Cricetulus griseus: one gene and its partners. The protein of the gene in region 1 interacts with the protein of each later gene in a pairwise test. Links are inferred from orthologs where the notes say so. Each region holds a gene or a part of one and is shown in the gene's direction. Other genes may lie near its edges.

Region 1 (4,026 bases):
CAGTTTTGAGCAGGGGAGAGGGAGTAAGAGAAGGGTAAGGATCGCCAGATCCATGCTGGACACACTCACGCTGGCCAGAGTCCGACTGCCATTCAGGCCACCCTTGGTACTTACTATCTTGCTACAAAGCAATCACAAAAACGTGGGCGGTGATAGGCATGACCGTTCTATTGGAGTGATGCTCAGGCTTGTGTGTGGGAGCAAGGGATCAAACCCAAGGCCTTGGGCTTGCCGGGCAAGTGCCCTCCCACTCCAGCCCTTCCAATTTTATGAGGACACACTAAAAGGTGGGTTTAGGGTGCTTGATACCAAGCCAAGCCTGAGGACCTGGCTTTGATCCCCAGGTCCCCACAGTGGGAAGGGGACTCCGGTATGTTTCTCCACACTTAGGCTGCTGTGGTAGATGCAAGGCACATAGCCCGCCGCCCCCCCTTCCCCCTCCAAAAAAATGTTTTTAGGACAGAGGTGGGTGGATCCCTGAGTTCCGGGACAGCCAGATCTACATAGTGAGAACCGCGTTTCAGAAAAATAAATAAATGACGTCTGGCCGGGTGCCACAGGGCGACTTTAATGCCAGCCCCGGGCAGTGGCGTGGAGCTGTGGGGCTGTGGGGCGTGAGGAGTTCCAGGCACTTCAGGGGAACACGGTGAAAGCCTCAGCATTCAGGCTGGGACAAAGCAACCACTGCTCACTAAACAGTGCTCACTGCCGGCGGGGATGAGCGGGGAACCCCCAACCCCTTCTCTCGCCCTTTAACCCTGTGGCCCGGGCACGCGCGCTGGGGGTTTGCTTGGTCTTGTCTTTTCCAGAGCGCTAGCGCTTCCCGGCGTAGCCCAGGCCGGCCTCCGGGGGCCGGGGTCACAGGCGCGCGCCGGCCCCGCTTCCACCAGCGGCGAAACGCTCGGTGGTCTTGAACCATGGCGCTCCCTCGGGCGCCCTCGACCAACCAACGACCCTCAGCACACGCCACAGTCTGCGAGGCGCGCAGCCGCCCGGTCCGGCTCGGGTGCGAGCGCACACGGCCCACGGAACGTCCAACCGTCGGGCGGCGGGGGGCGGGGGGGAGCGGCTTCCGGGAGCGCAGGCAGTGCGGGAGGACCAGAGGCCCTGCCGGGGCTTAGGTGGCTAGGGCTGTGCCCGTGCGTTTCCTCTGCCCGCCCAACGCGGACGCAGGCGCACGGCGTGCAACAGCCCCACGAGTCCCCCACGGGCGTCCACAGCGTCTCTCCGGGTAGGGGCGGCATCCCGCTCAGCGAGGGTTTCCTTCAGGCGTTACGGCGGCCACCTCGGCCGTGCGGCGCTTGCGGGGCGCGCGCCGTGGGGGTGGGGGCGGGGGGCGGCGGAGAAACGCACGCAGCCCGAGGCGAGGCGGGGCGGGGCGGGGCGGGGGGCGGGGCTGCGGTGTGCGCACGCGCCGCGCGGCTCACGCAGGCGCAGTGCGGTCCCCCGGGCGACGGCGGCGGCGGCGGCGGCGGCTCCTCGGGGTGGTCGGCTCCCTCCCATCTAGGCCGGCCCCGGCCCGTCTCGGCCCCTGGGAACTCACTGTCTGGGGCTGCGGACTTCCTCGTCGTGCCCCGCAGAAGCAGATTGGGGGGAGCCTGGGGGAGCCGGAAGTACCGCCTCGAGAGCCCCAAATACGATCGGGGAAACGGAAGTGGCCTGTGGTGCCCGCTTGGGGGAGGCCGGAAGTGACGGTACGGCGGGGAGCCGGCGGGGGGGGCGGAGCCGCGGGGCGCTGCGCCGCGCCTCGCCGTGTGTGTGTGTGCGTGCGTGCGTGCGTGCGTGTGTGTGCGTGTGTCTGTGTGTCCGTGTGTCTGTATGTGAGGGGCCGCGTGTCGGGCCGCGCGCGCTGCTGCTGCAACGCCGGCGGAGGCGGAGGCGGAAGGACGGGCGGCCAGCGAGCCGGTCGGGCTCCCGTGAGTGTCCGCGTCCCCGGCGCCTGTGGTGCTTGAGGCGGGTTCGATCGCCGTGGCGCGCGTGCGCGGAGCCACTTTGTCCGCCGAGCGCGGCGCGGCGCGGCGCGACCCGACCCTCCCCCCGCCCCCCCCTCGCGTTGTCCTCGGCTCTCCCGCTCTCTCGGGCGCTTGCTGGGTCGCGACCGGTGATGACAACTGGTGTCCGGTCGGTCTCGTGCTTGCTTGCCCGGCTCGTAGCCCAACTGGCTCTCCCGACCGTGATTGGCACCGTGGAGCCCCTCCCACCGCTCGCCCTTCGCCTCCCGGTGCCGTCCCCCTCCTGCCCTTTGTGTTTCTCCTCCCGGGCCTCGGGGCCGAGGAGGGGGCGATGAGGGCGAGGACGAGTGGATGTGTTTGTGTATGAGAAACTTTGAGAGGGATCGGGGCGGAGGCCGGGCCCGGACGCTCTTCCGGGTGTGTAGAAGGCGGGGCGGGCGGGCGGACGGACTGACGGGCGAGCGGGCGAGCGAGCGGGCGGCGGCGAACCACCCCCTCCCTCCCTCGTCTCTCCGTAGAGAGCTGTCGGCCATGGAGCCGAGCGATAGTGCCAGGACCGCTATGGAGGAGCCCGACAGCCTGGAGGTCCTGGTGAAGACCCTGGACTCTCAGACTCGGACGTTCATTGTGGGGGCCCAGGTGAGGCGGGGGGAGAGGCGGCGGTGTGTGTGCCCGCTTCGCTCGTGTGCCTTCCGAGGGGCGAGCCTGCTTGTCTTGTCACCGACTCCTTTGTCCCTCCCTCGGTAGAACCTCTGATGTTCCTGTTGAGTGAGGAGGTGTGGTTACCGTTGAGTGAGGCAGGTTTTGTTCCGCCCGCCTTCACCTCGGTGGAGCTCGGTGGAGAGGGAAATGCCGCGGAGGAATCTGTACCTGGCCTGGGCGGACCTCTGCCCACAGGGACACGGATGATTCCGGCCTGGGGGACCGGAAGCAGCACCGGGGCCTCAGACAAGTGTGCTGTGTTTGCTCTGTCTTTGAACAACTTGTTCTCGGCCTTAACACTGTATTTATAGATCCCGGGAGCCTGCTTTTGTGCTCTGTTCAGGAGGATTGCCAATATCTTGAGGGGTGGTTTGAACCTCCCGAGCTTACAGGGTGCAGTGTGGGCACAGTTATCTTTGTCTTTACTGCATAAATCTTTTCGGGAACAAATCATGAACGGGTCACTTTCGTGGTTTTATAAAACATTGGGAACACCGGGTACACTTTCGTGAGTAGGTGTCTGATGGCCCTTACCAAGAGTTACTGTCTAATTTGGAAGATTCTTTTTGGGGGTGGTAGGGACAGCAATACCTCATAGAGCTCAGGCTGGCTTTGACCTTCTGACTTCCATCCTCTGTGCTAGGATTTTAGGTGTAGCATACCTGACTTGTTTTAGGTTGTTTTGTTTAGTTTTTCCCCAATAGGGTTTCTCTGTGTAGCCCTCTCTGTCCTGGAGCTTTATCTGTAGACCAGGCTGACTTCAAATTCAGAGATCCGCCTGCCTCTGCCTCCCGAGTGCTGGGGTTAAAGGCGTGCTCCACCATTGCCTGGCTGAGGTAGGGTTTTAAGTGTCTTAGAACTGATTGTCTTTTGGATTCGTCATCCTCCTGTCTCTGCTTCCCAAATTTGGGGGTCTCAGGTGTGTGCTACCACGTTGGTTTGTTTGGGTTCTTCATTTTCCCTCCTCCCCTTATTGGGGGGGGGATGTTCCTACTGGTGTTGAACCCTGGACCTAGCACAAAGTACCTACCCCTGAACTCTAGGAAACCTCCTGGGCTCCCTTCTTACTTCTTCATTAGTTATCTTCCCAGACCCTGGATCCCAACCCAGTATTACTTGCCATTGGTGGAAATGGTTGTTTGAGGGTGTATCAGGTGTGTCATCCCCCCAGGTTTCTCTGTGTACCTCTTGCTATCCTGGAACTCAATCTGTATAGCAGTCTGGCCTAGAATTCACAGAGTCTGCTAAGATTAAAGATGTTCACCACCACCTGGCTTCAAAAAAAATGTTTTTAAGACTTTATTCATTTTTGTTTTTGTTTTTGTTTTGTTTTGTTTTGTTTTTCGAGACAGGGTAGCTGTGTGGCTTTGGA
Region 2 (2,317 bases), on another chromosome or scaffold:
GACAGCCTATTCTGTTTCCACCATTGGCAGCTTGGTACAATAGAATTTTTATGCAATGGCTATCTGCTAACCACTAGACTTGAGTAGCTAGTTCAATGGAGAGATTCAGTTCTTTGTTTTTTATCTTAATTCATATTGAAATTAACTACATTTAATTTAATCTAAACTTACATTTAAATAGCTACCTATAGCTAAGGACACCAGCATATGAAGTACTGCCTTGGAGAATTCCTCTTTGTCCTATGGAGAGAAAACAATGGGATCAATAGTAATTAAGGGTGTTTACCTGGGAGAAAACTTCATCCAGCAAAGGTAGACTAGGAAGTGTGCTTGGGTTTGAATGCTGGCTCTGCCACTTCTTACTGCCTAGCCACAATGTGGCTGAGTTTCTTCTTTGGTATTAACAGGTAAATATTGATGTCTACCGCATAAGGAGTTGAAAGGACTGAAGCTATATTTATAAATCACTTTGAAAACAGCCAAGTCCCATAGTAAATGCTATTTAGAGTACCATTAAATGAATCAATAAAAAAAATAAGTTATATTTTTATAATCTCTGAAGTTTTGCATGGAAGTATGAGTATATATTATGTTTTTCCTTCAGGAGTAGAAACTATAGTCATTTTATAAGCTTGTGGCATGCAGATCCCTTTGTTTATTTTTTAATAATGACAAACACACACTTTTTTTTAATAGCATTACAGCAAACATACAGATGCTGTAGCCACATGGCTGGAAACCGACCCATCTCAGAAGCAAAATCTCCTAGCCCCACAGGTATTGTTTTTCAATTTCTCAAAACTGAAACAGAGCTGGAGGGATGGGACAGCTATTAAGGGCACTGGCTGCTCTTGCAGAGGACCCTGGTTCAGTTCTTAGTGTCCAGATGTCAGCTTTCAACCTTCTGTAACTCTAGTTCCAGGGAATCTGCTGCTATCTTCTGATCTCCTGAGGTACAGCATGCACACAGTACACTAATACAAGGCAAGCAAAATACCGACCACAAAAATAAAACAAATAAATGATAAAACAATATGAAAACAAACAAACAAGCAAAACACCTAACAATGATAATAGACAGCTACTAATCAAACCATACAAGCTAGTAAGTGGGGTTTTCCTGCTTCTAGGTGAATGAGTGCCTAGAAGAACAATGCATACACTATGGTGGTTTGTCCCACTGTAAATCATCATCCAGGCTAAAAAAAAAGTGACCAGCTTTAGACTGAAAAGAATAACTTTGAACTAAGCAGCTGAGCATGTGTGGTGTATGCTAATATGTGGCCTTTCTTCTTCAGAATGTCGTGTCCTCTGAAGAAACAGATGATCTTAAACAAGAAGTAAGTTCTCACACTCACTGACTCCCACTGTTAGAGATCTGGAGGAAGCTACTTCATTGTTCCCTTCAGATTGTTAGTGAATCGCCATTCAAAAGCTTGCTTAGGAAGGAAATGCATTCATTCATCATCAAAATACACAGGTTTTTCAGTTTAGTGTTCAGAAATCGTCTACCTATACCTGTTACTTGAAACTTTAAGCCTCTTATAAAGTATGAAAGGTAATTTAAAGATGCTTTAACTAATATTTGATAAGCAGACCATCAGTGCTTAACAAAGCCAAGATTTTTTACTTTAAAATGTTTCTGTTGCTAATGTTAAAGATTATTTGATAAGTGTTTTTTCCTATTTGCTGAGCAAATAAATAAATTTTCCCTTAGGATTCAATTTAAATAGATAGATAAACTCTGATAAAGAAAGTTAGATTTAAAAAGGAACCACAGATTTATAGTTTAATAGTCTTTAATCCTTAGTTCATGATATGGATTTGGGCCATTGTTTGTAAACCCGTGTACTATACAGAGTCATCTCTTGACTATCCTTGACAATAGGGAGGCAACTATAGAGTTTAATCTCTATATTAAGGTATAATATGATATCTTGAGGGATTATGTTTCACACAAAAAATCAAACTAACATTATTTATGCTTATTACTTCAATAAATTCAGTAAATGAACAATGTACACTATTTACAAGGGAAAACTTGTTAGTAATATGAGCATCATACTTATAAGTTTGACTTGAAAATATCTAAGAAAATAACATTTTATTAAGAAGCCAAAAAAGTGCTTCAGAATGTTATTTCATTTATTCTTGTGTTAAAAAGCAAGTATGAGGCCCACTTTGTCACAATGAAACCATGGAAAGTATTGAATTTATTGTAAATGCAAAGATCTTGAAATTAAACTAAAATATTCAAGAAAACTAGCACAGTGTAAAAAAACCCAAACACTAATTTACTGAGCCATCTTGATCTTTG
Region 3 (3,519 bases), on another chromosome or scaffold:
TATAAAAATTCCAAAGAGCTGACTTGAAGCAGGATTAGGTAAATCACTTAAGGAAAGCTAAATTAAAGAATGAAAATACTCACTTATAGGAAAGACATGATTCATAAAAGGATTCTGTGAGACAAAATAGAAACTACAATTCACATAGAAATTAAGTGGGAATTACATAATAATATGGATATTACTATTGCTAGTAACATACAGTAATGCTTGGCTAGTAAAATCCTTTCTTCAGTTATCATCTAGGGATCTAACTGGTCTGTCTAGTTGGTCTCCACCACCACTCTCATTCTCAAGACTCTCTCCCCTCTGTCTGCTTCTGTTTACATTGCCTTTTCCTTGTGTGCCTAACACCATTAACAGTCCCTTCTTCCACCCAGTCCTAAAATATCTCTGCTCTGAGGTGGAACACTTCATAGCTCACTTTATCAGTGCACCCCCCTTCCAGAGCATCCTCTGTCCCTGTCCCTTGCAAACTGTTGTTGCCCCCCCTCTCTCTCTCTCTCTCTCTCTCTCTCTCTCTCATATGTGTGTGCCTCTCCCTCCATACCCTTTCCCTGAAACAGCTGCCCTCCCTTAGAAATATTCCCCTCATGCATGAGAATTCATCTATGCACCACCTTTTTTTAAAATTAAAACAATCTTATTTTACATAGCAATCCCAGTTCCCTCTTATTCCATTCCTCCCACTATACCCCATCCCACCCCCATCCACTCCTCAGAGAGGGTGAGACCTCCCATGGGGGATCATCAAAGTCTGTCACATCATTTGGGGGAGGGGCTAGGCCCTCCTCTGTGTATCTAGGCTGAAAGAGTATCCCTCAATAGGGAATGGGCTTCCAAAGCCCATTCGTAACCTAGGGACATATACTGGTTCCACTGCTAGAGGTCCCATAGACATCCTAGGGCTCCCAACTGACACCCACGTTCAAAGGGCCTGGTTTGGTCCTAAGCTGGTTCCCCAGCTGTCAGACTGGGATCCATGAGCTCCCACTTGTTCAGGTCAGCGGTTTCTGTTGGTTTCCCCAGCATGGTCTTGGTCCCTTTGTTCATCACTCCTCCCTCTCTACAACTGGATTCCAGGAGTTCAACTCAGTGCTTAGCTATTGATCTCTGCTTCTGCTTCCATCAACTACTAGATGAAGTCTCTAGGATGGCATTTAACCTAGTCATCAATCTCATTATAGAGGGAGAGAATTTAAGGTAGCCTCTCCAGTATTGCTTAGATTCTCAGTTGGGGTCATCCTTGTGGATCCCTGGAGATTTCCCTAGTGCCAGATTTCTTGTTAGGCCCAAAGGTCCACTTGAGATGCCCCACTTCCATTCTCATCCCTAATCCTCCACACACAATCAGCTATACATGAAATTCGTAGTGCTCTTACCTACATCTTAATTGCACTCTACTCTGAAAGTAACGGTTGCCCTATCTATATTCTCAACTATGTTATCAGCTCCTTGGAACAGAGAAGAAATTTTTTGTTTGTATTTTGTTTACTTTCATATAAGCAAAGTCATAATCAGCATTTGACTTTGAATTCAGCAGATGGACAACTGGCAAGAGATAAAATATCAGGAAATGTCATGCATTAGTTAGTCCACAATGGCTCAGCTATATCTGTCTTGATGTCACTGTAGCTGACTTAGGTCAGTTCAGTCTCTTCACTAAGAAAACTGAACAGGCCAAGTGTGGTGGTGCACACATACATATATAAGGGGGCTACTGCAGGAAAATTTTGAGTTCAAGGCCAGTTTTGATTGCACTGTGAAGTCCACACCAGCTTGCTCTCCACGGCAAGACCCTGACAAATAAAATTAAATAACAAAAAACAAACCACAGTCTAGAATCCTTCCTGTATCCTTCCTTACAAACCAGAATCTGCCACACATACAATTTACTTAGGTCAATAAACTCTTTAACCCTGTGCCTACAGATATCAATGAATGTGAGACCACTAATGAGTGCCGAGAAGATGAAATGTGCTGGAATTATCATGGCGGCTTCCGTTGTTACCCACGAAACCCATGTCAAGATCCCTATGTTCTAACATCAGAAAAGTAAGAAACATTAGAGCCTTTATATTAAAAGTCAGAAGTTTCTGGTCCTCCTGAGCCAAACTGGTGACCACTTCTGTGTTTGTCTCTGCAGCCGATGTGTTTGCCCAGTGTCAAATGCTATGTGCCGAGAGGGGCCCCAGTCTATAGTCTACAAATACATGAGCATCCGATCTGACAGGTCTGTGCCATCAGACATCTTCCAGATACAGGCCACAACTATTTATGCCAACACCATTAATACTTTTCGGATTAAATCTGGAAATGAAAATGGAGAGTTCTACCTACGAGTAAGTATGCTTAGACAGTATTGGCTGGTGGAAAGGTGGCTGTTCATTGTGTTCGGTCACATGGGAGTTGATCTAAAACCTGGGAGTTTCCCAGGTAGGCATTGTGTCCAGCCTCCTGGGGTACATGTGGCAATACTACCAGATATTAAAATCTAATCTTTACAAGCCACCCCAAACTCAAGCCATAGAATCTAATAAAGCTATGTGTGACTTCCCCAAAATACAAGCATGCCCCAAACAGGTACTACAAATGCATGCTGTCTAATTGTACAGAGAAAAACACTGAGAGTTTTTCTTGTGATAAAGTTTGTGGGTTGTTTTGATGTTTACACATTTAATCTGTCCCTTGATATATTAACTTCCTCCTTGCTCCAGAGTAACAGGATTCTATTTCTTTGCCAAAAATTAGAATTGATTAATTTCTCAGAGCCAATTTCATTTTTATCATTTTTTATTTTAAAACAATCTTCTCATTTTACATACCAATCCCAGTCCCCACTCCCTCCTCACCTCCTGCTTTCCACACCTCCTCCCACCCCACCCTTCATCCACTCCTCAGAGATGGTGAGGCTTCCCATGGGGAGTCAACAAAGTCTGACACTTCACTTTGAGGCAGGACCAAGGCCCTCCCCACTGAATCTAGGCTGAGTAAGATAGCCCTCCAAAGAGAATGGGCTCCAAAAAGCCAGTTCAAGCACTAGGAATAAATCACGGTCCCACTGTCAGTGGCTCCACAGACTGCCTATGCCACACAACTGTCACCCATATTCAGAGGGCCTACTTTGATCCTATGCTGGTTCTCACTCTGTCAGTGTGGAGTCAATGAGGTCCCACTAGCTCAAGTCAGCTGTTTCTGTGGGTCACCCCAAAATGGTTTTGACCCATTTGCTCATATTATTGTTCCTCCCTTTCTTCGACTGTACTCTGAGAGCTTGATCCAGTGCTTAGCTGTGGATCTCTGCATCGCTTCTATCAGTTGTTGAATGAAGGGTCTATGATGATAATTCAAGTAGTCATCAATTGGGGAAAGCTAGTTCAGACACCCTCTCCACTAATGCTGAGGGTCTTAGATGGGGTCATCCCTATGGATTCCTGGGAAATTTCCCTAGCGCCAGGTTTCTTGATAGCCTCATAATGGTTCCCTCTATCAAGATATTGCAGAGCCAATTTCTAAAGG

The links. The genes of interacting proteins can lie anywhere in the genome.
Region 2: the proteins of Bag6 (region 1) and Spp1 interact in binary tests that used the Homo sapiens proteins (3 or more experiments, as listed by UniProt). The link is inferred for Cricetulus griseus from reciprocal best matches to the Homo sapiens genes BAG6 and SPP1.
Region 3: the proteins of Bag6 (region 1) and Efemp1 interact in binary tests that used the Homo sapiens proteins (3 or more experiments, as listed by UniProt). The two-hybrid records come from large-scale screens. The link is inferred for Cricetulus griseus from reciprocal best matches to the Homo sapiens genes BAG6 and EFEMP1.

What each region holds. Positions count from the first base shown.
Region 1 is NW_023276806.1:231,657,483-231,661,508, forward strand, and holds the start of Bag6 (large proline-rich protein BAG6), read left to right. Parts: upstream 1-1,207; 5' UTR 1,208-1,231; intron 1,232-1,435; exon of another isoform or gene 1,436-1,694; intron 1,695-1,725; exon of another isoform or gene 1,726-1,916; intron 1,917-2,227; exon of another isoform or gene 2,228-2,369; intron 2,370-2,470; 5' UTR 2,471-2,483; coding exon 2,484-2,591; intron 2,592-4,026. UniProt on the Homo sapiens protein: ATP-independent molecular chaperone preventing the aggregation of misfolded and hydrophobic patches-containing proteins.
Region 2 is NW_023276807.1:166,254,791-166,257,107, forward strand, and holds part of Spp1 (osteopontin), read left to right. Parts: intron 1-696; coding exon 697-777; intron 778-1,298; coding exon 1,299-1,340; intron 1,341-2,317. UniProt on the Homo sapiens protein: Major non-collagenous bone protein that binds tightly to hydroxyapatite. Appears to form an integral part of the mineralized matrix. Probably important to cell-matrix interaction.
Region 3 is NW_023276807.1:78,368,411-78,371,929, reverse strand, and holds part of Efemp1 (EGF-containing fibulin-like extracellular matrix protein 1), read left to right. Parts: intron 1-1,931; coding exon 1,932-2,055; intron 2,056-2,146; coding exon 2,147-2,342; intron 2,343-3,519. UniProt on the Homo sapiens protein: Binds EGFR, the EGF receptor, inducing EGFR autophosphorylation and the activation of downstream signaling pathways. May play a role in cell adhesion and migration. May function as a negative regulator of chondrocyte differentiation.